7 linked regions of the Danio rerio genome follow. The protein of the gene in region 1 interacts with the protein of each later gene in a pairwise test. Links are inferred from orthologs where the notes say so. Each region holds a gene or a part of one and is shown on either strand. Other genes may lie near its edges. The genes, in order: rabac1, syt16, fxr2, zfyve21, snx15, snx10b and rab33a.

Region 1 (4,254 bases):
CTAATATTGATAACAATAATTAATTTCCTATATCTAAAATAACTTTTTTTTTTGCTATTAGCAATCACACTGTGCCTACACTACCTGACAAAAGTATTGTCGTCGATCCCTGCTGTAAGAGCAACAAATAGTAACTTGACTTCTAGTTGATCATTTGGAAAAGTGGCAGAAGGTAAATTTTTTGATTAATCATGTTGAACTGCATCACACATACTGCTGACCTATTGGAACCCTCATGGACCCAAGATTCTCACAGAAATCAGTCAAGTTTGGTGAAGGAAAAAATATGATTTGTGTTTACATTTATTCAACATCAACAGCCTGAGATATCAAGACATTTGCTGCCCTTTTCATTACATATCACAGGAGAGGGCAAATTCTTCAGCCGGATCACGCTCCTTCTCATACTTCAGCCTCCACATCAAAGTTCCTGCAAGCAAAGGTCAAAGTGCTCCAGTATTGGCCAGCCCAATCACCAGACATAAAAGTTATTGAGCATGTCTGGGGTAAGATGGAGGCGAAGGCATTGAAGATGAATTCAAAGAATCTTGATGAACTCTGGGAGTCCTGCAGGAACACTGTTTTTGCCATTCCAGATGACTTTATTAATAAGTGATTTGAGTCATTGCAGAGATGTGTGGATGCAGCCCTCCAAGCTCATGGGAGTCATACACAATATTAATTATTTTTCCATTGCACCATGACTTTATATTCTATACTGTACATTATTTCTGTTAAGTCTTTTGTTTTAGCAAAGTCAGGCCTTACTATCCTCATTAAATAATAAAAAATCAAGGCATAATCATATTTTATTTTGGTAAAAGAAGCGTACACTAGAGGCCTTTGCCTTTCAGCCACTGATACCAAATCATCAACTAAGTCAAGTTATTTGTTGTTCCTAAAACTTGGATAGGCCACAAGGTTTTTGGCAGTGTGTACTGGAAAAGAACAGAAATCCAATTCCTGAAATTAATAGCATTTAGCTAGAAAAAAAGTATTTATTGACATCACATATTTATAATGCTGCAAATGAATGTCAACTATACAATGTTCATTACTAGGTATGTCTGTTCTTGAATATTAAAATATATTATATATTATCAAGGGCTGATTTAGTGATTTTGGGGCCATAAACAATTCCAGCCAAGGGGCCCAAAAGTTCTAGAATGCATCTTTTGTACTTGAATTTTTAAAAATTATTTTCATATTTTTTTAGTTTTGCTGTTTTTTTCTTATATCATTAAACCTCATTTTCTATATTTTATCTTAATGCAAAATAATAGTTATAACATGTAAAGGACATTGTATCCATTTAAAAAAAATTTAGGTGCATGCCCTGTATGCTGATCCGTGTCACTAGGAGGCAGTCGCAAGTTTGACTCGTGTTAACTTATGTCAACAGAAGAAGATCGTCACCGCTGTTTGCGAACCACATCATATCCGCTGCACATCAACACAGTCAACACATCTACACAAAGTGCTGTGAGTATGATTGTTACTTTAAGGTTTACTCCCCTTTTAAAGCACAATTCTAGAAATATTTCGTCTCACTGTCTGTCGATTTCTCTATGTTACTAACGTTACCGATTGATCTCAAAGTTAAGGGGTATCGATATATATTTTGAGAAAGAGCGCTTGCTGCTGTCTGTAACGGATTTGATAAACAAACTTTATGGATTATGTTTTGTGACATACCAAAAAAAGAAAACGTTGTTTATTGTCTGACTGTAATAATTTATTTTTTGAGGCACATCTGACGTAATGTAGCAGCTTAACAAACTTGCTCTACCGGATTGTTTCTCTTCTTGAACGCAGAGTTTCAGTTGCAGCCCATGAGTGACATCATTTTTCCAGTAACGTCATTGAACACGTTCATAACTTACCATAACATAGAAAGCGAGCTTCATAGATTAAGTGAAGACATACAGAGGAAGTTTAGAAAGTTGCTTTCTGTGAAGGAGATCAAATTCATTGTTTTCCTATCAAGTGTAAAAGTCTTAGTATCCCTTGACTAAAGTTATGTGCATGTTCTTGTACTTATAACGTTAGAGGTAAAGTTGGTTTTATATTCGCACATTTAGAAGTCCCTATATTGTTTACCATGTTACTTTGAATATTCGATCGGAATTAGCCTGCAAGTATGACTTCTAAATAACATTAATTCTATCTAATTGATTGTGAACAATGTTGTACTTTGATAATCATTTGGTGCTTATATGATTTTCCTATTCGGAATTTGCAAAGAATACTTTTCTGAAATTATATTGTTAAGGAGAATGTCTGAATATCCGAATATAACTTTTCCTTTATCTTATACTTCACTTTGAAGAACCTTTCATCTATAGTTTGCTATTCATTAATCCAGCCTTTTGAAAGGGTTTTTTCTTAATAGGTAGATCTTTTTGCTGTTGTTCGCCTCATTTTCTGTTTAGTTATGAGATTTCAATGCTGAATTTAGATGAAATTTTAAGCACTTTTTACCTGACTTTATTGAATCAATTATCTTGTTGGATGGTCATCATAACCACACTTTTTGATGTACCAAAACATTTCCTAAATATTTATAATAAAGAAATAAATATGGCAAATATGTGTTTTTAAAACAGAAATATATTGCATCATTTATCATGCATCAACGTTTTAAATTAGAAACTGTAGCCTAGTGTAATTTATTAAGCAAATAACTGACTGGCCAGCACATTCAACTTTCCTCAGTCAGAATGTGGCCATTTAAATAATAATAAAAAACTAAAACATAATAATAATAATAATAACAACAACAACAGTTAAGAGCTTCACAGTTTTTCTAGCCTCTTGTATAAGTACTTTACACTTTATTGGTTATTTTTTGTTTCAAGAAAAGTGATTGATAATAAAAGTTACTTGTCAAATCTTTTCCCAATTTGAAAACAATAAAGTAGTGAAAGATGACTTTGCTTATGTCAGGTGTTTTCTTGCACAGCTGGATGTTGGACTCTTGAAAAATAATTGTTTGTATTGGCCAAAACTGATTAACTGAAGTCACACCAGGATTACGCTTGGTCTTAATGCCTTTTTCGATGGGTTATTTTCACTATTTATGATGGCATAGCAGTCAAAAAAGAACAAATGAGCTCATGTATTGGACAAATTCTGGACCTTTGTCAGTGTGGGTGGGTGGGTCTTCCGAAAACCCCTGGCTACGGGCCTGGTGAGTGTTTTTTTTAAGTGGATAAAAGGATTAGTTCACACAAAAATAAAACTTCTGTTATTAATTACTCACCTTCACGTCCTTTTAATTCCTGCATGAAATCTAAGTTTCCTCATCATCCTTTTATGGTCCAGACACATTTATAGTCCAGAAAAGGAACTAAACACATTGTCAAAACATTCCATGTGACTTCAGTGGGTCAACTATAATCATATGAAGCTCCAAGAACACTTTTGTGTGTCAAAAACGTATCAGATCAGGACATGCGTTTATTATGAACTCTGATTACCTGAAGCGGAAGAGAGGACAAATAGTGGTACTTAATCACATAATTTAAATTTTTGGGTGAACTAACCTTTTGAAGTTTTATATGAAAGGCCATGGTCCTTTGTTATTCATACAATGCAAGTCAACAGTTACCTGCACTTATAGAGTCAAACATAAATATACAGGCAAAACATATTTAACTTCTGTGACACCTGAAAACACATTGAGGTCTAATAAAGGGAAACTATAGGTCTGTGCAAAAAGCTGAGCAATATTAACAGTAACTTATTATTGCATCTTACCCAATGATCCCACTTTCTTCTTTTGACAACCACAATGTCCTTTACATCTCAATCAACCCACATAGTATAAATGTACCAGTGGCTCTCAACTCTGTTGGAAATTAAATCAACATATGAATATATTTAAATCAAAATAGTAATACATTCTTGTTGATTAAGATATGTGTTTTATTATTAGACACGTCGAGATGGATGCAAAAGTAAGTGACCCCTTTAGCAGCGAGGCAGAGCAGCTTCCAGGAGCAGGAATTGTGGGAAGGTGAGTCTGTCACCAGAAATACTACAATCTGTAAAAGCCCAAAACTCCAGAAATTGTTTATTGTTTAACTCTTATTGAGAGTCACATTAGATAAAAGACACTGCTAAATGATTAATTTCTTTAAAAAAATTATTTTAATTGTAACTTTCTTTGTTGTTGTTTATATATATATATATATATATATATATATATATATATATATATATATATATATATATTTATATGTATGTAAGTAT
Region 2 (4,188 bases), on another chromosome or scaffold:
GTTCTCAACCAATACAGCAAACCTACAAAGCAGATATAGTGATTAATACGGACACAATTTTTGTGTTTGTACAGCTCAAGTATATGGGATCACTAGGAGTTTCAAAAAGTAAATGGATTAAATCAGATTTATGTTATCTAAAAGCAAATTTCGTCACTGTTTTAGAGCACACTAGCAGATACTCTTCAAACTAACAGACTAAAACTAACTTATAAAAATGTAAATTTTACTGCACCTTAAAATAAAATTGGGAATCAGTATCAGAATCTGACAATTTGCATTCAGAATCGGTTTGATTGGTGCACCACTAATTAACTGATTTATCTGATATCAATTCTGTCTGTTCTACAGTTTGCATGTTCTCCCTGCATGTTCTCCCTGCATGTTTCCCCCACAAGTACCACGTTCATCTAGACATGTGGTATAGATGAATTGGGTAAGCTAAATTGTCCGTAGTGTATGAGTGTGAATGGATGTTTCCCTGTGATGAGTTGCGGCTGGAAGGGCATCCGCTGCGTAAAAAATGTGCTGGATAAGTTGGCGGTTCCCTCCACTGTGGTGACCAAAGATTAAAGCCGAAAAAAGAAAATGAATCAATCAATCAATTCTGTCCTTCTGATCAGTGTCTGATCTGTGTGTCTGTTCTCTCTTCAGTCACTCCTGAGGCGGTGGGCTTCCTCTCGGCCGTGGGCATCTTTGTGGTCTTGTTGGCCATACTCTTCCTGTTCATCAATAAGAAGCTGTGTTTTGCTCGTGTCGGGGGCCTGCCCTGCCTAGAGCAGTACAGCCGACGCAAGCGAAGAGACCGTGCAGGGATTCACCAGGGTCTGGGTGAGTAATACTGCTCCGACTTTTTTTGCTGAGTAATTGTTTTTGCAAAAGGTTTCACAGGTTAAAAAAAGTCCCGCATATGGTGTGTTTAGGGTTTCTAATTTAGTTTTGAAGGCCTTCTGCAATAGGTTTACATAAATGCATGTTCAAAATACAGTAGCACCGTTTATTGTAAAACCTTTCAGACCTTTTTCATTCACAAACTGCAATATTACAAACGATGTGAACTGCGATATATTTTAAAACAGACAATACTTTGACCATAATCTCAGATGAATACAGGTATAGCCTGGGATGTTTAATGAACAGTGTGTGGGATGTTTGTTCAGTCTGTTTGATGGCCAATGGCAAACAGGGGGAGTGTTTGGGATCCAGTTTTCTAATTAGATGCATATCTCTATGTGCTCTATGGGTTGTCCCTTTTTCTATTCTTTCCTCGCACATTATGCACACATACTCACCACCTGTGTGTTAACTCTGCACCTTTTGGTTTGACGCACACACACCAACACACTTCTCAGTCTGTATATCAGCAGGGTGGTGGAGGAAGTTCTGCTGTGGTATTTAAAAGCAGCTCCTTTAGTAAACATTCAGTCAGTCCGTCCTGCGAGATGTCCTGCGTCTAGCAGCTAGATAAATGTTATGAATTCAGGTCCTGCTGAATTGGTTTGACAGAAGGTTTGTTATATGTGCAAAGAGTAATCGAGTAAATGGAGTAATTGAGGAAGACTTGCTGGTAAGTGTCTGATCTAAAAGCAATCTAAGAATATGTGTTGGTTACTGTCTTAGAAATTTGAATTTAGTTTTATTTATTGCAAATTTACTGTTGTTTATACATATATATATATATATATATATATATATATATATATATATATAGAGAGAGAGAGAGAGAGAGAGAGAGAGAGATATTTAAAATAATGTAATTTATTCGAGAATGTATTTAATTTATTCAATGTTTGTTCATTGATTTATTGATATAGACACATTTGTTGTTCATTTTTAGAATTGAATTACTTTTATTTTAGTGTTATTTTTAGTAAATATTTATTATTATTATGATTATTATTATTATTAAGTATTTATGTTAGTAATCATTATCAGTAGGGCTGCACAATATATCGTTTCAGCACTGATATCGCAATGTGAGTGTTCGCAATAGTCACATCGCGGGATATGCAGTGTTAAATTGGCATTATAGTCGATCAACATTGAGAATACATGAGATTTGTGAGGTCATTGCATTGTATAGCTATATCAGAGTGAAACTTTATCATTTGGATATGTTTTAAAGGCATTTCAAGAGTGTAAAGCATTTAGGCACAATAACGTAAAACATTTGTAACTTTAATGAAGAATAATTTGACTTAATTATTATTACAATAAACACTAGATAGTGTTATTTTACATTACTTTACCCGAATGTTGTTTGACTAAATGGAAAACCATAAAGCACTGTTTATTTTACTTTTATCGTTGCTTTATTGTAATTATTCTTGCAATTTGTTTATTATTTTTTTATACATGATTCACACCCTTACAAAGTCAACCCAACTAATCAAATTAAGGATTTTTCAAAATAGAGGTATTCTAGGCCATCTGGTAAAATTGTATTCAAATCACAATATATATCGCAGCAAAAGAAATATTGTAATGTCAGATTTTTCCAATATTGGGCAGCCCTAATTATTAGCCATAAGAACTGTAAAATCTGTATGTGAGCAATTCCATGCAAATATCAAGCTTGCCATGAAAAAAGTTTTTACCAAAATAGCAAAACTGTTTCTAGGTTTTTTGTGTAGGCTAGTATTTTAGAATATTGTAAAAATACTCAAAAATGTCTCTGTCAGTGTTTTCAAACAATTATATTTGATTTAACCAAGTCACACAAGTGCCAAATTCAGTTCTGTCACATAAATAACGGAGAGGTGTCACATCCATAATGAAACATTTTTCTCATGAATGCAATAATGTCAAATAAAACCAATCGGTTTTTTTTTTTGTTGTTCTAAAGTGAGTCAACTTTTATCCTTTTGATTAGCGTTGTTTCTATTGGGTTTTGCAGTTTAATTGACAGAATTTCTACAAAGTATGTTGTAGACTGTAAACTCACAGACGTTTTGGTCACATCTATAACGCATGCTTATTTTCCTCATTTAAAATTTAAAGATGGTTTACAGGTGAATATTTTTTGGATTCCATAACTCTGTGGTTAGTTCTTTTGAAAACTATAACAAGATGTCTTAATATAATGTAAACATATACTTTCTCTGTTCATTTATGTTTTGAGTTTTTACTGCAAATCTCACTTCCATAACGCTGGAATTGCTCGTATATGTTGTTGCATAAAAAAATTAAACCAAAATAATTTGATGTGAAATTTGATTTGATGTTTTTAATAATAAAAAAATAAAATCTATTAGATCTAAAATCTAATATATATATATATATATATATATATATTTATATATATATATATATATATATATATATATATATATATATATATATATATATATATATATATATACATGTATATTATTAAAGCAATAATGATAAAAGTATTTTTACATTTAGCTTAAAACCATGTACTAAAATAATCTAAACATAAAATGACAAAAAGACAGAATAGCTCAAATTTGATCTGTAATTAAAAATAAAATAACTGTAATTGATAAGCAATTATGATAAAACAGCACTGCATGTAACCTCTATGTAACTGCTCATGTAACCTTGCATTGTACATTAGTTATCTGTTATGCATAGACAAAATGTAGTTTATTGTTTAATTGAACAAATGATTATAATGTTCTTTCTTCGACCATAATATCGATGTTTTGAATTTAATACAGTGAAAGCATGAGGAACTTCAATGGGTCTTCTGTACATCTGAAAACAGACCTCCTTAGTGCAAACAGGGTAAAACCTTGACATTTAATGGAATGGCAGATACTCCTCAGACAGGTATCCCAGCATTCTCCTCATGGCTCGCTCAGATTTCAGATGCTTTTTCCAGTGGCTTCCGCCGCCTCGGCCAAAATGAAACTGTCGACTCAGTGAAAGATGAGAGTTCAGAGGTGAATTTGAGGGTTGTTCATGGATCTGTAGTGGATTCACAGGGCGACAAGTTTGATTATGCACTGTCTGCTGAACGTCTGACTCCCATCAGCGAAGAGACAGATGAACTGGAGAGCGGGAGGAGTCTGCTTACTTCTGATACTGGTAAGATGATGGTTAGCTGCACTGAAAAAAATGTTTCATTGGATTTGCTATACGCTTTTTTTAAGATAACTGATTGCAAACAATTTATATGGGCTGAAAATGAACAAATGAAGTTGAACATCACTCAATTTAATT
Region 3 (3,500 bases), on another chromosome or scaffold:
GTCATTACGGCGGCGACGTGAGCGTCTTCTGCGGTCAATACCACCCATGCTCTCGCTAGCATCTGTATCACCGCCCTGTTCACCTTCACCCTCCAGCAGAGAGTATGGGTTACTGTCCGGATCTCGGAGGACTGGAACACACACAAACACAGAAGTCAAGCACAAAGCAAATAATAATGTAGAGAATTTTGCATGGATAGCCTCCCAAGCATTTAAAAAGGAGCTTTGTGTAAATTATCATTAATTTCCTTTTGTTTTTTAACACTACAATTTTGAAAAGCTTGTAAAGAAACGCATAATAAAAAGAATTAATTTAAATGAGAGTCATATAAATGTATAGTCTATTCATATTCCCAATTTCTATGCTAAATATGACTTTTGCTCATTAATAATATCCTAATACACTGATTATTAACATTTAAGGTAGTTATAGCAGTGCCATTCAAATATCGAAAAGATTACGGTGTGAAGAATATAGAACATATGCATTAAAATGTTATAAGTACAAGTACTAATAAACCAATAATATTCAAACAAATAGCTAAAATTGAGAACGGGTGCCCATAAAAAACACATCCAGATCACTTACTGGCCACCAGTGTAGCTAATGATGAAGATTTCTGACTTCTATGAATAACCCTTCAATAAAATACCTTTTTTAAGGTCTAAAAGCCTTAGTTTTCTCAAACTTTGACAACTTAATTTGTCATTGTCTTGCATGATTTTTTTTCTTGCATACAATAGACCCTTTTCACATTATGTCCGGTTTCACTCCACGCAGTGTATGGTTACTTCCGCCTACACAGAACTCCCCATAGAGAACTCACCCAGTCAGCTGTATATTTACTACAGAAACAATTAGACTGTGACCAGGCAGTTTTCTGTTGTCTGCATTCAAGGTGAGACATCTTAAAAAATAATTTTAAACATCAGGCGGATTTTCTCTTGGACCAAGATAATGGGACTTTAAACAGAGTGTATTGCTTTGTGTGGCTGTATTTACTCTAGATGAAGTTGGTATGTACTTGTCAGCTTTTGTCAAATAAAGATTTCAGACGTTTACACGGGTGCTGAACATTTTTTTTGTCAAATTATTTTTTAGTATGTTTTTGTGCCCTGTAGAGTAAGTAATAAATACAACTGTGTGCGTTATACTGCAGATGTTTACAGTGGACAGCTGATTCACAAACACATTTATATAATTCACATTCTACAGCTCAGATCTCTGAAATTTTGCTTCTATAAAAGGCATTTCATTTAAAAACAAAAAACATTTAATTCTAAGATTCAAATAAAATAAAATAGAACAACAATGTTGTATGTGACTCAAATAATCAAATGAAATCATTACAAAAATTTACAGTGGTAAAATAACACCAAGACGACAGCACTTTAATTCAGTATTAGTAGATTTTAAAATTATTTGCAACATTATTATTTAAAAGACAGTACAGATATCAAACTAAACCCATGCATTGTGGCAGCAGAACACCGTCATAATTCATTTAAATGGAGAAACTGAACAAATCATTAATAGATCAGTAAATAATAAGCGATAAAACGAATTGCATTTATTGATTTACATATAACAGATAAAATTATTTATATTCAAAGCAGCATCAAAACAAAAATAAACCCATTATTGATTAAATAAAACAAAACTAAATTACATAAACTTAAGTGAAAAATGTTGCAAACATATACTTTCCTTGATAAACAACAGCCTATTCCTATTCGTAATAACTTAAACATTTTCAAACTCAGAAAGCGGTTCAGTTTTGAAAGAGTAACATTTGGACAATTCCAATACTTTAATAGTTTTAAATCACAACAGGCAAAGTTAATATTTTTATTTGTAAATTTTCCAGAAGTCTGCCAATCATTCGAAAGTACACTGGAACAAAAAATACACCTTGCTGCTGATAGGGGGAAGTGAAGTAGGGTCATTGTGAAAATGATCTATTACAGCTACTTATAATAACTATATTCACTACTAACAGTGGCTCAGACTTCTATATATTAAAATTCCAATTGGCTGTACCTGAGCTGATAGTGTTAATGTTTCTGGGTCCTGGTCCTCCACGGCCCCTGCCAGCGCTGGAGCCACGGCCTCGACCTCCACGCTTCGAACCCCGATCATCTGCTCCAACCCCTTTAGGCCTGGACTCCCGATCCCCCAAATCCTCTGTCTCTGATGCATTGGACATCTCAGAGTTAGTTCCTGCGAGAAGAATGAAGAATGTTAAGCAGCAGGAACACAATTTATACAGAACAATTTAGGCACCTTAGTAGCACTGGTGATATTTGAGAGAAAAAAACAGCCTGTGTGAGATATTTATCTCAATGCTCGTATGATACTGCCTTATGATATGACACAGACACTAATTTATACAGGGCATTTTTGCTCCAGTAACTTGCATTTAGAGGCATATAACAGCATTATGTACACTACATTCTAAGATTAACGTCATGCACCATCAGTCAACTGTATGAAATTTTATTTATTATTATCTTAATTGAGAATTTCCCTGTAAAACGTACTACACATTACATCTACAAAACAAAGCTTAAAAGAAACATTTCAGTTTTTTGTAAATAGGCTCATTTTACAAGTCCCCTAGATAAAAGGGTATATGCAGAAATATGCAGAAGAACTATCTTCGGTCAAGCACTTCCAGTGAACTGTGTGCATTTGCAAAATCGCCTGAGGTCTGTTTCTTACAAAATTAACGATCACTGCCCGATTGATATACAATATAAAGTGGGTTTTAGAATGTACAGGAAGCACTGCATTAAATTAGAATTTCCCACGCCATGTCTTTAAAATATGAACATTTATTTTACTCGTTTCTGCGCTCGCCTGCTGATCCTGACGGGCAGGTGGTTGTAAACGGCTTTTCATCTCGTGTTACGCTTCAACAACTAAATGAATGCTCAAGTTTATTTAACTGATTATATTTTAATTACATTACAACATCAATGCTGTAAAAAGAACCGTAAAATACTGAAAAAAAAGTCACATTGACCAGAAGTTTATCGAAATAGTAAGAAACACTAGCTGTGCATATAACGTATAGTCCTGAAAAAAAATATGCAGATAGTTAAACAAGGTAACGCAGTTGCAAAATATCATTGCACTTTAAATAATAAAACTCTTTTCAAATTGTTTTTAGATTAATGCTAATGGTCTAATCTGATTCAATGGTTTATGCTAAGCTAAGCTAAAAGTGCCCATGCAAGATCTGCAGATTGGCTAGATGGATTGCTAAATTTCTGTGGTTTAACTGGCAGACTTAAAATGTGCCTATTTTAGTGTTCCTTTGAGGTAAAACTAAAGAAAAATGTTTATATTTCTTCTATTGTGTATAACTGTGGAATGTGTTTGAAAAGAAAAAATAAGAACAGGTGCTTAAAATGTTTTTATAAAATAAGTCAAAGAGGCAAAACAACAAGGAACAAAAAAATCAATGAAATTTGACTAAAATTTGTAGCTTATAACT
Region 4 (4,027 bases), on another chromosome or scaffold:
GGACTCTTATTGTATAATCAAAGACCTTAAAGCTTTTACTGGGGGAAAAGCTAAATATATTATATTATATATATATTATAATATATTATATTAGATATTCACAACAGTACTACCAACAAGTATTCATTCATTCATTCATTCATTTTCTTGTCGGCTTAGTCCCTTTATTGATCGGGGGTCGCCACAGCGGAATTAACTACCAAATAATCCAGCAAGTTTTACGCAGCGGATGCCCTTCCAGCCGCAAGCCATCTCTGGGAAATCAACAATTATTATGATAAAAATATAAATAAAAAGTATTAATCCCAAGAGAACTCTATTTGTATTGTTAAGGACCCTCATGTAATTTTACTGACTGTGAATCCACAGTACAATACATGTCAGAATTTGGGAACAACTAATTGTTTAAGGTGTATTCATGTACTAATAAAAATAATGTTTACTCTAATAATAATATTGGGTTCATCCAATAATACAGGATATAAAATATATAAAATAATAAATAATGCTAAATTAAAGTAAACAATTAAATACAAAAACTATAATATTTATTATGATTGTTTTGGTTATGATTATAATGATTATGATGAATATGTTTATATTATATTATATTATATTATATTATATTATATTATATTATATTATATTATATTATATTATATTATATTATGTTATATTATATTATAATTACTACTAGTACTACTACTTCTACTAATACTACTACTACTATTATTAGCGAGATTATAAAATTACCAATATTTAAAATGCTAATATAAAATAATGCATAACTCTTTAACCTTTTTTTGTTTTTTTGGCTTGGGAGATTAAAAGGATCTGTATTTTAATAATACCAGCTGCAGTAATGACAATTCCAGTTCTACTGCTACTACTACTACTACTACTAATAATAATAGTTATTATTATTATTATTATTATTATTATTATTATTATTATTATTATTATTATTATTATTATTATTATTATTATTATTATTATCATCATCATCATAGTAGTCGTTATTATTATTATTGTTATTAATAATAATAATAATAATAATAATAATAATAATAATAAGAAGAAGAAGAAGAAGAAGAAGAAGAAGAAGAAGAAGAAGAAGAAGAAGAAGAAGAAGAAGAAGAATATATTTTACATTTTATTTCTGTTCATATCACAGACTGTTAAAAATATTTATGTTAGAGCTATGAGGGACTCTTATGTTGAAGCGGTGTCCGTGCGGCTGGTAGGGCGGCTGATGTCTGCTCCGTTCTTCTCTCCAGCAGCAGCTGCGCACTCATAAACACAAACATGTCCGCTGTTCCTGACGGCAAAAAGCTGGTCCGGAGCCCGAGCGGACTCCGCATGGTACCGGAGAACGGCGCGTTCAACAGTCCGTTTACCCTGGACGAGCCGCAGTGGGTTCCGGATAAAGAGGTAAAGAAGATCGATCACTGATTATTGGGATGGTGATGATGATGATGCTTTGGGCGTTGTTTGCTTAAGGCAAGAAGAGCCAGTGGAAAATATTTGCTAACTTTCGCAGATGGTACTACAAAGACGTAAGATGGCACGATTTAGATCTTTTAAACAGATTTGAGTTGAAATGCATGCAAATCACCTAGTATATCTGCTGTAGTGAGTACTGTAGTGTGTATGTGAGCGAACAACCATCATTGTGAACATGTATAATGTATTGATAAATGATTGATCTGCTGGGCATGTGACAGACAGTTTGGATGGCATGGCATTCGGGTCAAACTTTGCCCAATGCTTCTGTGTGGCCAAGAGACTGTCAGACGATTAAACCACGCCCACTTATTAATAATATATGGCGAGGTATGCAGAAACCACTGACATTCAAAAGTACAATTTCCATCACCTTTGCCACATCACGTGTCACGTCAACCACTTAAAGGGACAGTTCACCCAAAAATGAAAATTAGATTACTATTTACTAACTCTTATGTGGGTTCAAACATTCACAAGTTTATTATTTTGTTTCTATTGAACACAGAAATTATTATTATTATTATTATTATCATGATAATAATGATATTATACAATGATATTATTATTATCATTGTCAGTGCATCAGGTGACAGTAGTTTTTTGTAAATAAAGCCAATAAAGGTCCCGTGAAGTGCTTTGAAATGTACATTTTTGTTCGATGTTTGACGTAATCTCAACTGAAAAATGAAGAGAGGGTGGGACTTAGCGTAGCCCCTCCCCTTTAAAAAAAAGTCAGTCAGTTGAGCAAATCAGTTGAGCAAAGCTAGAAATCAGTTGAGCAAAGCTAGTGTAATGGATGTGAAATCGGTAATAAAAATACACAAAGAATGTTAAGCTTAACAGTATATTGAAACATAAGTTTATATCTTTCAACACAATTAACTAAAGAGCTAATGCATCAATAATGATCTGTAAATGTGTTTTATATTTGAAATTTGGAAAATGAACATGGCTTATGGAAATGACCAAAAAGTATATAGTAAACTTGTTGAAAATTCTGTGAATTAAGCTACACGTTCCAATAGAAATTACACTGATCAAAAGGATGTGTTATATTAATAATAATAATAATACATTTATTCATTCATTTTCCTGTCGGCTTAGTCCCTTTATTATTCTGGGGTCGCCACAGCGCAGCGGAATGAACTGCCAACCTATCCAGCAAGTTTTTACGCAGCGGATGCCCTTCCAGCCGCAACCCATCTCTGGGAAACATCCACACACACATTCACACACACACATACTCATACACTACGGACAATTTACCCTACCCAATTCACCTGTACCGCATGTCTTTGGACTGTGGGTGAAACCGGAGCACCCGGAGGAAACCCACGTGTACACAGGGAGAACATGCAAACTCCACACAGAAACGCCAACTGAGCCGAGGCTCGAACCAGCGACCCAGCGATCTTCTTGCTGTGAGGCAACGGCACTACCTACTGCGCCACTGCTTCGCCAATAATATTAATAATAATAATAATTCCTTACATTTTATATAGTGCTTTTCAGGACACTCAAAGCTTTTGATGCATTGAGATATATACATATATGTCTTAATATTCATTAAATATCAATGTCTTTTCAGATTTAAAAGATCATTAAACCAGGGGTCACTAATCTCGGTCCTGGAGGGCCGGTGTCCCTGCAGGGTTTAGCTCCAACTTGCCTCAACACACCTGCCTTTATGTTTTTAGTATACCTAGTAAGACCTTGATTAGCTTGTTCAGGTGTGTTTGATAAGAGTTAGAGCTAATCTCTGTAGGGCACCGGCCCTCCAGGAACAAGTTTGGTGACCCCTGCATTAAACTATGCATTTAACAGAAAAATATCTTGAAAACTGCATTACCCATGATTTTACAAAAGTCTCACCCAATCAGAGGGTGGCATTAAGAACTCTCGAGTGTCAGTTTTCCTACAAAACTGCTAAAGTATATCTACTTTACAACTGTTTATATTTTAATCAACATCCTTTAAATTGGCTTTATAATTCTGTCATTAATCTGATCTTATCATTGGCAGTGCATCAGGTGATAGTAGTTTTTTGTAAATAAAGCCAATAAAGGTCCCGTGAAGTGCTTTGAAATGTACATTTTTATTCGATGTTTGACGTAATCTCAACTGAAAAATGAAGAGAGGGTGGGACTTAGCGTAGCCCCTCCCCTTTAAAAAAAAAGTAGCCAATAGCATTTTGTTTTTTATCACAGCTCTGCAAGTGAGACTGGTTGAGCTCAAGCACGTCAAATGAAAAGCATCTTGAAGGGGGCGGGGCATGTCAGAGACTAGAGAGCATTTGATTGGTCAAGCTTTGAGAAACTGAAGTATGAGGTGATGTGAAAAAAAGGTTAATCCATTTAGATGGAAGTGACAAACTGCTAAATTTACATGTTTATATCAGTTTTATACAACGCAATCTCATGGCAGTTTGTAACATTTTGATTTGTTGGTTAATTCGTATGAGTTCGTACGATCTAATTTGTACAATTTAGTACGATTTGCTCCTTCAATGATGGTTGCTTTT
Region 5 (3,500 bases), on another chromosome or scaffold:
TTTAAAAAGCACATAAATTGTTTTGCAATTTGTGATTTGTTTTAAGTTGAATAAAAGAAAAACATTTTCCATTCATATATTTTATTGAGGATTCCAAAAAAGTATTAAAAATCTTGTGAACCCTATCTCATGTCTAGTCTCATCTCGTGGAATAAGCATCTTGTCACACCCCTTTTACTAACCATTAATAAAGAGCCAATTAGACGTTTATTTGGAGGCAAAAGTCATAGTTAATAGTTAATATTGTGAATTGGTCTCCAAACTAAATCTTATTTTATCTAATTTAATATTTGATTAAAATTTAATAAGTTATTACCTTTAATGATGATTGTTAAAAATAAAAATTGCCATTAAAAATAAAAGTTTTAAACAATGGTTTACTGCTCCATTGCAGATGCTTCGCCTGAAATGCCAGGCTCTCCAATCGACCAGTTGGAAGAGTTTGATGCACTGTTTGACTCAGGATTGGAGGACTATTCCTTCAAAGCTCCGCCTCTGCTTTCAGACACAGACCTCGCTATTTTTGACCCTTGTGTCAAAGAAGGTGGGAGAATCTATTCAGTTTGACTTACCATGTCTACATGCAATTGTTTTTTAAAGCAAAGTCTCACTCTCATAGCTTGATTCAATCTCTCAGATCAACCGTACGGATCACCCAGCCATGCTGAACTCCTGTCTGCTCCTCTGTGTGGTTCAAATGGGACGGATTCTGCTGTAGATGTTAGTTATGTGTACCAGGCCAATGAAGAGCTGAATGCTGCCCAGGAACAAGAGAGAGAAGGCAACTATAGCACAGCCGTACAGCGATACAGGGCGGCTGTTGATATATTTATGAAAGGAGTGCAAGGTAAGACATGGAGGCTGTTTGCATGCACATTGCAACACTAATTGATATTTTGCAGTATGTAATACAGTTGAAGTCAGAATTATTTGCCCCCCTGTTTATTTCTTTTAATTTTTTGTTTTATTGTTACAATTTTTGTTTAAAGGAGAGATTTATTTAACGCATTTTAAACATAATAGTTTTAGTAACTAATTTCTAATAACTGATTTATTTTATCGTTGCCATGATGACAGTAAATAATATTTGACTAGATATTTTTCAAGACACTTCTATACAGCTTAAAGTGACATTTAAAGGCTTAACTAGGTTTATTAGGTTAACTACGCAGGTTAGGGCAATTAGGCAAATAATTATATAATGATGGTTTGTTCTGTAGACTATCAGAAAAAGATAGCTTAAAGGGGCTGATCATTTTGACCTTAAAATGGTTCATAAAAAATTTAGAACTGCTTTTATTCTAACTGAAATAAAACAAATAAAACTTTCTCTACAGTAAAAAATATTATCAGACACACCGTGTAAGTTTCTTTGCTCTGTTAAGCATCATTTGGGAAATATTTAAAAAAGAAAAAAAATCAAAAAGAGGCTAATAATTCTGACTTCAACTGTATATAATTGGTGCAAATTTTCTTTATGAAAAATGTCTGGATACTAAACACAACATTGGTTACATATCATATATTTAACAAAAACACACAATTGGGAAAATAGCATCCCACAATGCACTGTGCTTGACCAGACGTTCTATTTCTTGTGTGACTAATTAACTGAAAGGTTATGAATTAATTTTGAAATACAATTTAGAGACGCTGCTGTTCCAGAGTTTGTGGTAGACATAAATTTTTTTTAATGTTTCTTGTATTTTACAAGACTGCATTTATTGAATCAAAAATGTAGTTTAATCAACAATTTTATGAAATATAGGGTCACACTTTACAATAATGTTCCATTCGTTATGTTAGTTGTTTGTATTTATTAACATGAACTTAAATTGAACAGTACATGTACAGCGTTTATTTATCATATTTTAATTTGTACTAGTGCATTATTAAAATGTAAAATTGTGCTTGTTAACGTTAGTAAATGCACAGTTAACAAGAATTTACTATGAACATCTTTATTTCATTAGCCAACGTTACTAAAGATGGTTAAGTATTGTAATAAATGTATTGTTTATTGTTCATTTGTGATTGTCAATACATTAACTAACATTTATGGAACCTCATTGTTAGGTGTTATTGATATAGTTTATCATGTTTTTCATGTTAACTTATTTCAGTTTTAATATATTTTTTCAAATTTGTTCCTGTGAATCATTACTTTAGTTTTTAGTGTCACATGATCTTTTAGAGAGCATTTTAATATGTAGACATGGGGCCCGATAATGATTTCTTATTTATGTTATCAATGTTGAGTAAAATAAATATTCTTATTTTTCTTAGAAAACATATACAATAACCATATACAATCCAATCTAGCCCCAACAAAGCAATCCCCAAATAAAATAATACAAATCTGAAAAATAAAATAATAATAATAATGAAATAAATACAAATACAGAAAAAACTAATTATAAAAAACCGTATATATATATATATATATATATATATATATATATATATATATATATATATATATATATATATATATATACTTACACAATCCACATTTAAGGTTTTTAAATCATTAAAAAATGCAAAAAATTGTTGGCAGTTTTCCGACAACTGTTCTCCTCTACCTCTGATATTGCATTTAACATATTTCTAAAGGTGCTGGTTGACTTGACATTGTCACCAGGTGTCAGTAACAACCAAAGTAATTCATACATATAAAGCAAACAAAACTAATTAGTTTAGAAATTAACTTTTGTGTGTTCAAATAAATGAAATGACAAAGGGGAACAGTATTGAACACATGAAAAAACTGGGGTATTAGAGGTCATGGAAATCCTAGACAGCAGACAGCATGAATATAAGCTGCTTTATTCCAAACATCTACACAACCAGATGATGAAGATGAAAAAGGGTTGATATTAAAGCAAGACAATGATCCCAAACACAGGCAAGGAAAATCTCAATGGGTCTCAGAAAAAAGAAAATAAATCTGCTAGAATGGCCCAGGCAATCACCTGACCTGAATCCAATAGTAAAAATGAATTAAAGTGGATAGACAAAACCCACAGAACCGTCAAGACTTTTAGACTCTGTTGATGTTTGGGGGAAAAAATTACACCTAAGCAATGTATGCAACTCCATTCTTCATACTACAAGCTGTCATTAGCATAAGTACATTTCAGTAGTTCAGTACCTTTTTCTTGTGTCGTTCCATTGTTATTATGCATAACAAATTTTTCTGAATTGGATGTTCGGATTGTTTGATACAGAGTTTGAGTTGTTTGGGTTTTTACCAAAATATGCATCAAATTCATGTCAACAGCTCCTTTAGAAATAAATGGCATTTTCAATTTTAAATGTTTATCTTAACCACTATTATTATTATTATTATTTTTATTATTATTATTATTATTATTATTAATAATATTATTATTGCCGGCAGCTAGCTCTCTGCAACTTTCAAATGGTCCACCACTGGAGCTAAGCAGAGCTGCTCCTAGTCACTACCTGGATGGGAGACCACATGGGAAAGCTAGGTTGCT
Region 6 (3,995 bases), about 11 Mb from region 1:
AAATGTCACAAATCAAAGATTTGATGTTAAATCTTTAGCCCTGCTCACTCATAAAGCACTGTGGATTACATTTTTGTGAGTTTCTCTCTGAATATATTTAAAACCAAAAATTTAAATGTCCTTGTCCTTTGCATTTCTTCAGTTGAGCCATTTGCAATACTTCATGGTATTGTGACTTTTCTTTTTTGAATCCACACTTTCCAATTTTCATGGAAATTTTTTGCTTCAAATCAAAGTTTTAAATATTGTAATTCACCTCATATCTGGTTGGTGCGTTTCGTGTCTTCTAATGCTTTAAAGCCTTTTAACAAATCCTTATGGGCAAAATATTTCCTGAACCAGCATTTATGTGCATCATTATAGTTTTGTTCTTGGTGTAAACAGGCCATTTTAAAAGTTATACTGTGATAAATCCTTTGATCTGTGAGCGAGTATTGTGACTCATAAATCGGTAGATTTGCACAAAACTAATTCTAGAATGTAGCCTGTACAATCACACTTTATTTGTGACATTTTTATTTTTGGTCAGTTTCACTTTCATAACAGCAGTATGATTAGGCCATTTACTGTAGGCTGAGGTTTTGCTGAAGTCCTTTGTCTTGCTGTTTCACTTTTCTAAGTTCCTTTTTTCTGTAAAGATCACTGTAACATTAAATCTCTAGGTGCTTTAAATAAACATAGACTTACCTCAGAAGTGTTGTGATCGTTCTTATTAACATGAAAATTTGCAGTCATCAGTAAAAGTGTTTTAAAATCAAATAACTCTAATTATCGTTGGTATATTATAAAATAAAGTCAGTTCCTAGTAGATTGTTCTTTTAAAAATCATAATGCTCATAAATATAGTTTATAATAGCCATTTTGTTTTTATTTTAAGAGGTTTGAAACCACTACAGGTACATGAATAACTCTTTAAGTACTGCTATGGTTGTTTTAAACACGCAGGCATTATGATTATGAGACCCATTTTTTCCAGCTGCTTTTTCCTGCTCCTTTTATTTTTATGGTGCAGCTAGTCTGCTGTGTCTCTAGTGGCTGGTAAAAATGAAGCACCGCTGTCAGTCACAGGCACAAAATGAGCTGTGATGTTTTTCCCAAGTCTACAGTTATCATGAATCAGCCCCAGTTGGTCAACAAGACCAATGTCTCATGAAAATACTTCCTACTTTATTCTTCCCCATTTTTTATCTCAAAGCTTGCTGTTGTGTGTCACTGTCCAATAAAAGTTAGTGAGTGAGTGTATTCGTTTGCTCTTTTCCATAATTCTTGGACTTATGCAGGAATTCACTGGCGTTTGGGTGAGGGATCCTCGCATCCAGAAGGAAGATTTCTGGCATGCCTTCATGGATTATGAAGTTTGTATACATGTAAGTGCAGTCGTATGCAAATGGTTAAAACAAAAGTCAGATGCTTCCTGGTTGTTATTTGTATTTTGTATTTGCTTAGACAAACAGCTTGGCGTTCACTAAGAAGAGCTCCTGTGTGCGGCGGAGATTCAGCGAGTTTGTGTGGTTAAGAAAAAAGCTACAGGAAAATGCCTTGCTCATGTATGTAGCCGTTGCATCTGCTCTTGCTATTTATATCTTTTATTACTAATGGTTATTCATATGTAGGCAAGACTTCAATACATGTGAGAGTATCTGCATACTTATTTTATTAATATTATTATACTTTTAATTTGAAAGAATATATTGAGAATGTATGAATTTGAAAAAAAATCAATTATAATAAATGTTATATATATATATAATTTTTATATATTAATGATTTAATAGATTTTTTTAAATTAAATTAATACAGACAAATCCCCAGACCTTGTGTGTGGAAGTCATTGGTTATAGTTGAATTACATTTCCAATGTAGTTTTTTAAAAAAAATAATAGATACTTTTAATCAAGTAATAATTTTACGGAGTTATTTTATTACTATTTTAATATTTAACATTATGTTTACTTAGTCTATTTCAATTACTTGCCAACACTTTTGTTAGTTTGTAAGGATTTGCACATTTAGGTTTTCCATCTAATATTTTTATATTTGTTTTATTTAATTTTTAGTATAATCCTCAAACATATATTCAATAGTTTTGGCTAACAATATCAACACTGCTAATTGTTAAGCAGCTGTACTGTAGACATTTTAAAATTTCTGTCATTGGGCAATTTCCATTGACTCAAACTTAACCTTTTGTATTTGAATTGCAGAACACATATACCTAAACTTCCTCCAAAAAACCCCTTCTTCAGTCTCAACAATGCAAAAGAAATTGGAGCCCGTATGGAGGGGTTAAGGAAATTCCTAGAAGCGTAAGTGTCTGAATAACCACACACACACACACACACACACACACACACACACACACACAAAACATTAAATAAAAACAAAACCATGACTCACAATCAAGGGTGGATTAAGTGATTTTGGGGCCCTTAGCAGTTCCAGCCATGGAACCAACAGTCCTAAAATGCACCCTTTTTAGTTTTATTCATTTTTATTTATTTCAAGAATTCACACTTAGCTGATGATTGATTATAAACAAGTTTGGCATGCTTACCCAATAAAGAGCCCTGAGCTCAAAAGGTCCTTGAGCCCTGGGCTCCCTCCTGTTTGCAGGGCGCAAGGGGAGCTCTGAGCTCAGGTAGCTGATCTCTGGAGAACTCCCCCCTTGATGACAGAAAAGGATTGCTATGGAGAGATATGCTACTGCATGGGAGTTTGACTGTAGTGCTAAATTTAGATTGATCAATGAACTTGTAGTGCATGTTTTTGGAATGTTGTAGGAAACCAGAGAACCCGGGGGCAACCCACGCAAGCACGGAAAGAACAAGCTAACTTCACACAGAAACGACAGCCAGCCTGTTAAAGAACTAGAACCGGTGACTTTCTTCCTGTGAGGCAACAGTGTTAATCACTGGGCCACCGTGCCACCTTATGAAGAGAAAGGTGGAGGAGTGGGGATGGAATGGGGGATTCTTCAAATCGAAGATGACTGTAGTGAGAAACCCTGTCTCTTTAGAGTGGGTTAGGATTTGTTTGATTGGTGGATCAAACATTGTTAAAGCAGAACCAGCCGTGTTCAATCATAAACACGTGATCCTCTCGAAATTTGTTTATAAATAAACTTCACTTATTTTGCAGGGTTTTTTATATCACGGAATCTCCTTTTTCATGTTTTATCTCAATGAAATCTCTACATTTTAAGTGATTTGTGTTGTTTACGTGAACTCACATCTAAAAAAAATAAATGAATAAATTGAAAATAATAAATATTTTTTAAACAATTGAATCTCTACCTGACTTGACTGCTGGACTGCTCCATGATTGGGACAAATTTGCATAGATTGTATAATTATGGTAAAATGTAAATTCTAAGACCCTCACAATACAAAATATGATAGAAAACAATGCTATTTGTATAATTTATACTTCTTGGTATTTGTTGGTCCCCTCAAATTTCCTGAGGCCCTAAGTGGCTGCTTACTTTGCTTATTGGTTAAATCTGCCCCTGCTCACAATCACTTTTGATGTCTTGAGCATTTGCTTGTTTTTCCATATGATCTTGTAAGACTTTTCTGATAAAAGAATGAATAAATAAAAATCAAACTTTTTGGTACAAATGAGATTTTACAAGTCTATTTAACAATCCACTAATAACTAAAGTAACTGAAATGGTTATGGTTTGATTAATCAGTAAAATGTTTACTTCTTCCAGGGTGGTTCACAGTGCGGTTCTGCTGTCAGACAGTTGCTTGCACCTCTTCCTACAGTCCCAACTAAGTCTGAAAAAAATTGAGGCCTGTGCTGAAGGCAGGACTCGCTACACTGTATCCGAGGCCATTCACAGTTTCAGTTCTGGACACAAACGCTTTGATTCACTGTGTGAAGAGAACATGGAAGAAGAGCAATGTGTGCAATGTGAATCAGAGTGATTATTTTTGGACAATAAAATGGAGTCAACGCACATTATGCTTTTAGATATAAAAATACAACCTCTG
Region 7 (4,208 bases), on another chromosome or scaffold:
CTGACCCCAAACTTTTGACCGGTAGTGTAGCAACATAAAAAAATACAGACTCTTCAAACAAGCTTTAATTGACAGAAAAAAAATAACACTGCTACATTTAAATTTCATCAGTTATGAAATACCTTCAATTTCAACTGAAGACAATATCGTTATAGAGATCAGTTCAGTGTTGTTTCAGTTTATTTAATCAATTATGAAACGTCCTCAGATTCAGCTAGAGCAGCCCTCCCAAAAGCTAAAAAAAAAATAAAAATTCATATGATTAACCAGTTCATTCTGAATTTGACATATCAAATATGCAAATATGAGTGCAAGAGTGCAAATATGTCAGTGCCTTTACAAAATAATAATTGTCCTTTAATGTGTAACTTTAAAATGCATCAGATAATTCATTCATTAATTTTCCCCTTTATTCATCAGGAGTTGCCACAGCGGAATGAACCACCAACTTATCCAGCATATGTTTTACACAACAGATGCCCTTTCCGCTGCAACCCAGCACTGGGAAACACCCATACACTCTTGAATTCACACACATACACTACAGCCAAGTTAGTTTACTCAATTCCCCTATAGCGCAAGTCTTTGGACTGTGGGGGAAACCGGAGCACCCGGAGGAAACCCACACAAACACTGGGAGGGGGATGACCCCTGTTGTTTAACTTTACAAGCATCTTAATAAGAGCAGTTTAAATTTTTAATCGATTATGCTACAATATTATCTGGGGCTTTCATGGTCTTCCACAGTGCAAAATAATATATATTTCTTAGAGTTTTTTCCTTTTTCTATTGCAAATATTGACAATATAAGAAAATATTCTTGCTTAAAATTAAGTTAATTTTTACTTAAAGCAGCTACATAATTTTCTGCAGCGGGGTAAACAATTTATCATAAGATTATTTTTCATGCTTTTAGAAATTTCACTTTCAAAAACATTAACTTCTATAAAATGCTTTATTTAAGAATTTTCAAATGTACCAGAGATTTATATGTAATATGTTTTCTGTTTCTCAAAAGATTTTAAAAGAAACAGCAGTTTTAGATTCTTATTGGTGCTTTGTTGAATTGATTTTTGTCTTAAAAAGAGGTGAATATTCTTCGAAAACTTCATTTTATAGCCTTTTTACTGCAATAAATTCTTCATTCAAGTAGCCTATTTGACAACAAAAACGAACCAATAGCCTAAATAATTGTTTTTTTAGAGGGAACTATCCCTTTAAATGTCATGTTGTTTTGTTTATTTAAGGGGAGAATTTAGTTTAGTTTTAATTTCCCTTTTAATTGCTTAAATCAACTACATCAGTTGGCAAACACTTGTCGGGCTATGTAAACTCCCTGCATCTGCAAAGGGAGTGGATCTGCTATCCCTTCCCCCATCACTACCACCACCATCATCACCGCCGGACCAGTGAACACCAGGCTCGGCACATCATTTCACCGTTATGGCAAATGAATTCTCAGAAAACAGAGACGGAACTGCCAACTCACGCCATGCCAACCTCACGTCGTCACTAGACCTGAGCACGTCTCTGGATCACAGCGTGCAGACGCGGATTTTTAAAATCATTGTCATCGGGGACTCAAATGTGGGAAAGACCTGTTTAACCTTCCGCTTCACCGGCGGAGCCTTCCCGTGCAAAACTGAAGCCACCATCGGCGTGGATTTCAGGGAGAAAGCGGTGGAGATCGAGGGCGAGAAAATAAAGGTGGGATTTATAGAAGGGGTTGCTCTCGCCCTGAAGGCCGACATCTCGTTGTATTACGATTGTATTGTGTGTTTCAGTGACAGCAGCATCACGAGGAAGCTCAATGTTTACATTCTGAGTAACGTTAATATCTACCATTACTGTTTCTTTGATCGCATGCAGCGTCAAAAACATAGCCTAGTTTATAGTTTCCATTACAGGCGAGTCAAATTACATGTCATGTGGAAAATTAAAAACAAAAATGCGAGTGCTTTGGTCACACCTGCTCTTTATTGTTGCTTAGGATGGTAATGTAATGTTTTGGTAAATGGTAACTGGTTTTTACTTCGTAAAAGATGGTCATTACCTTTTCCAAACTCCCCATCAGCTGCACCAAAATGTTATTATCAGATAAAAGTTAATGTATCATAAAGTTATAGATGCACCTTATGCTGGTCTATCAACAAATGGTTGTCAACCTGGTATATAAAAGGTTATAAAAATGTATGAGCATATAAGATGTAAATGAATATATACAGTTGAAGTCAGAATTATTAGCCCACCTGCTTATTTTTTTCCCCAATTTCTGTTTATCGGAGAAAAGTTTTTTTTTCAACACATTTTTCAACACATTATTTTTAATAACTCATTTCTAATAACTTATTAATTTTATCTTTGCTATGATGAAAGTAAATAATATTTAACTAGATATTTTTCAAGACACTTCTATACAGCTTAAAGTGACATTTAAAGGCTTAAGTAGTTAATTAGGTTAACTGGGCAGGTTAGGGTAATTAGTTATTAGGGTAGTTATTGCATAATGATGGTTTGTTCTTTAGACTATCGAAAAAATATACATAGCTTAAAGGGGCTAATAATGTTGACCTTAAAATGGTGTTTAAAAAAAATTAAAAACTGCTTTTATTCTAGCCAAAATAAAACAAACAAGACTTTCTTCAGAAGAAAAAAATATTATCAGACACACTGTAAAAATGCCATTGCTCTGTTAAACATTCTAAAGGAAATATTTAAAAATTAAAAATAATAATAATGATAATAATTCAAAGGGGGGCTATTAATTCTGACTTCAAATGTATACTCACACGCACACACATATATAAATATACAGTTGAAGTCAGAATTATTAGCCCCACCTGTTTATTGTTTTTACCAATTTTTGTTTAATGGAGAGAAGAATTTTTCAACACATTTCTAAACATAATAGTTTTAATAACTCATTGCTAATAAATGATTTATTTTATATTTGCCATGATGACAGTAAATAATATTTGACTAGATATTTTTCAAGACACTTTTATAAAGCTTAAAGTGACATTTAAAGGCTTAACTAGGTTAATTAGGTCAACTAGGCAGGTTAGGGTAATTAGGCAAGTTATTGTATGATAGGCTAATTTGTTCTGTAGACTATCGATAAAATATATATATAGCTTAAAGGTGCTAATATTATTGTTTTTATTCTAGCCGAAATAAAACAAATAAGACATACAGTGAAAATTTCCTTGCTCTGTTAAATATCATTTGGGAAATACTTAAAAAAGAAGAAAAATTTCAAATGGAGGCTAATAATTTCGACTACATTCGATATACATACATACATACATACATACAATCATATATACATACACATTATCATTTGCTTGTGATTTTAAGGCCTATGACCAAGCATTTCAGGAGAGTTTAAAACATTTGGGCACAAAAAATTTTGGTGTTTGTAAGTAACAATTTATGCAAATGTTTTTTTTTTTTGCTTCAATTTTTTTGTCTTGTTTCTAGACCAAATATCTACATTTCGAAGTGAAAACAAGATTATTTTACTCACCTTAATGGCAGATCATTTTGCTCGTTGTAAATAAAAAACTTTTTTGTTATTTCTTAAGAAGGTGAGAATAAAACAGTATTTGTACTTGAACTATAAAAAAAAATCGTTATTTGTACTAGAAACGAGAAAATGCAAATTAAGAAAACTATTTTCTTGCACTGGTATTACTGCACCTAAATATTGTTAGACTCCCCAGAAAATTGCAAAATAGAACTGATAATCTTGTGAAACTGTGTTCGTATCACAATATTTATTGCAGAAAAATCGTAATATCAGATTTTTCCAATATCATTTAGCCCTAATGTATTTGTATTTTAATAAATTATTAATTATTATTTTGAGCAATTTTTATATCTGTCTTATGTAGCAAAAGCTTGTATAAGAAAAATTGTAAGTTGCTTTGGAATAAATAGTCTGAAAAATCCCTAACTGTAAATATTGCAGAGGTGATTATTTTTTCATGATTTTTCTTTTACATGACGTTAAAAGTTATGTAAAAATAAGGTCAAAGATTTGAACGGAAATCTTCAGAATGTATACTTAATACCTATGAATGGTTAAAGTTTTTATTTTTAAAGATCAATTCATAAATAATTATTTTTATAAATTAAATAAATGTATTTCTTAGCTGTCAGAGTCACTTTTCTTTAGTGCTGATGTTTGTTTTTGTCTTGTTTTTTCT

What was found.
Region 2: the proteins of rabac1 (region 1) and syt16 interact in binary tests that used the Homo sapiens proteins (3 or more experiments, as listed by UniProt). The link is inferred for Danio rerio from reciprocal best matches to the Homo sapiens genes RABAC1 and SYT16.
Region 3: the proteins of rabac1 (region 1) and fxr2 interact in binary tests that used the Homo sapiens proteins (3 or more experiments, as listed by UniProt). The two-hybrid records come from large-scale screens. The link is inferred for Danio rerio from reciprocal best matches to the Homo sapiens genes RABAC1 and FXR2.
Region 4: the proteins of rabac1 (region 1) and zfyve21 interact in binary tests that used the Homo sapiens proteins (3 or more experiments, as listed by UniProt). The two-hybrid records come from large-scale screens. The link is inferred for Danio rerio from reciprocal best matches to the Homo sapiens genes RABAC1 and ZFYVE21.
Region 5: the proteins of rabac1 (region 1) and snx15 interact in binary tests that used the Homo sapiens proteins (3 or more experiments, as listed by UniProt). The two-hybrid records come from large-scale screens. The link is inferred for Danio rerio from reciprocal best matches to the Homo sapiens genes RABAC1 and SNX15.
Region 6: the proteins of rabac1 (region 1) and snx10b interact in binary tests that used the Homo sapiens proteins (3 or more experiments, as listed by UniProt). The two-hybrid records come from large-scale screens. The link is inferred for Danio rerio from reciprocal best matches to the Homo sapiens genes RABAC1 and SNX10.
Region 7: the proteins of rabac1 (region 1) and rab33a interact in binary tests that used the Homo sapiens proteins (3 or more experiments, as listed by UniProt). The two-hybrid records come from large-scale screens. The link is inferred for Danio rerio from reciprocal best matches to the Homo sapiens genes RABAC1 and RAB33A.

The regions. Positions count from the first base shown.
Region 1 is NC_133191.1:11,086,695-11,090,948, reverse strand, and holds the start of rabac1 (prenylated Rab acceptor protein 1), read left to right. Parts: upstream 1-1,454; 5' UTR 1,455-1,482; intron 1,483-3,937; 5' UTR 3,938-3,947; coding exon 3,948-4,018; intron 4,019-4,254. UniProt on the Homo sapiens protein: General Rab protein regulator required for vesicle formation from the Golgi complex. May control vesicle docking and fusion by mediating the action of Rab GTPases to the SNARE complexes.
Region 2 is NC_133188.1:41,039,365-41,043,552, reverse strand, and holds the start of syt16 (synaptotagmin-16), read left to right. Parts: upstream 1-1,388; 5' UTR 1,389-1,567; intron 1,568-3,683; 5' UTR 3,684-3,773; coding exon 3,774-4,053; intron 4,054-4,188. UniProt on the Homo sapiens protein: May be involved in the trafficking and exocytosis of secretory vesicles in non-neuronal tissues. Is Ca(2+)-independent.
Region 3 is NC_133182.1:22,730,745-22,734,244, reverse strand, and holds part of fxr2 (fragile X mental retardation syndrome-related protein 2), read right to left. Parts: intron 2,222-3,500; coding exon 2,042-2,221; intron 132-2,041; coding exon 1-131. UniProt on the Homo sapiens protein: mRNA-binding protein that acts as a regulator of mRNAs translation and/or stability, and which is required for adult hippocampal neurogenesis. Specifically binds to AU-rich elements (AREs) in the 3'-UTR of target mRNAs.
Region 4 is NC_133188.1:47,247,021-47,251,047, forward strand, and holds the start of zfyve21 (zinc finger FYVE domain-containing protein 21), read left to right. Parts: upstream 1-1,227; 5' UTR 1,228-1,305; coding exon 1,306-1,431; intron 1,432-4,027. UniProt on the Homo sapiens protein: Plays a role in cell adhesion, and thereby in cell motility which requires repeated formation and disassembly of focal adhesions.
Region 5 is NC_133182.1:19,941,065-19,944,564, reverse strand, and holds part of snx15 (sorting nexin-15), read left to right. Parts: intron 1-394; coding exon 395-544; intron 545-637; coding exon 638-847; intron 848-3,500. UniProt on the Homo sapiens protein: May be involved in several stages of intracellular trafficking. Overexpression of SNX15 disrupts the normal trafficking of proteins from the plasma membrane to recycling endosomes or the TGN.
Region 6 is NC_133191.1:22,386,779-22,390,773, reverse strand, and holds the start of snx10b (sorting nexin-10B), read left to right. Parts: upstream 1-1,195; 5' UTR 1,196-1,274; coding exon 1,275-1,367; intron 1,368-1,446; coding exon 1,447-1,547; intron 1,548-2,204; coding exon 2,205-2,306; intron 2,307-2,868; exon of another isoform or gene 2,869-3,415; intron 3,416-3,712; coding exon 3,713-3,929; 3' UTR 3,930-3,995. UniProt on the Homo sapiens protein: Probable phosphoinositide-binding protein involved in protein sorting and membrane trafficking in endosomes. Plays a role in cilium biogenesis through regulation of the transport and the localization of proteins to the cilium.
Region 7 is NC_133189.1:19,966,491-19,970,698, reverse strand, and holds the start of rab33a (ras-related protein Rab-33A), read left to right. Parts: upstream 1-1,408; 5' UTR 1,409-1,443; coding exon 1,444-1,707; intron 1,708-4,208.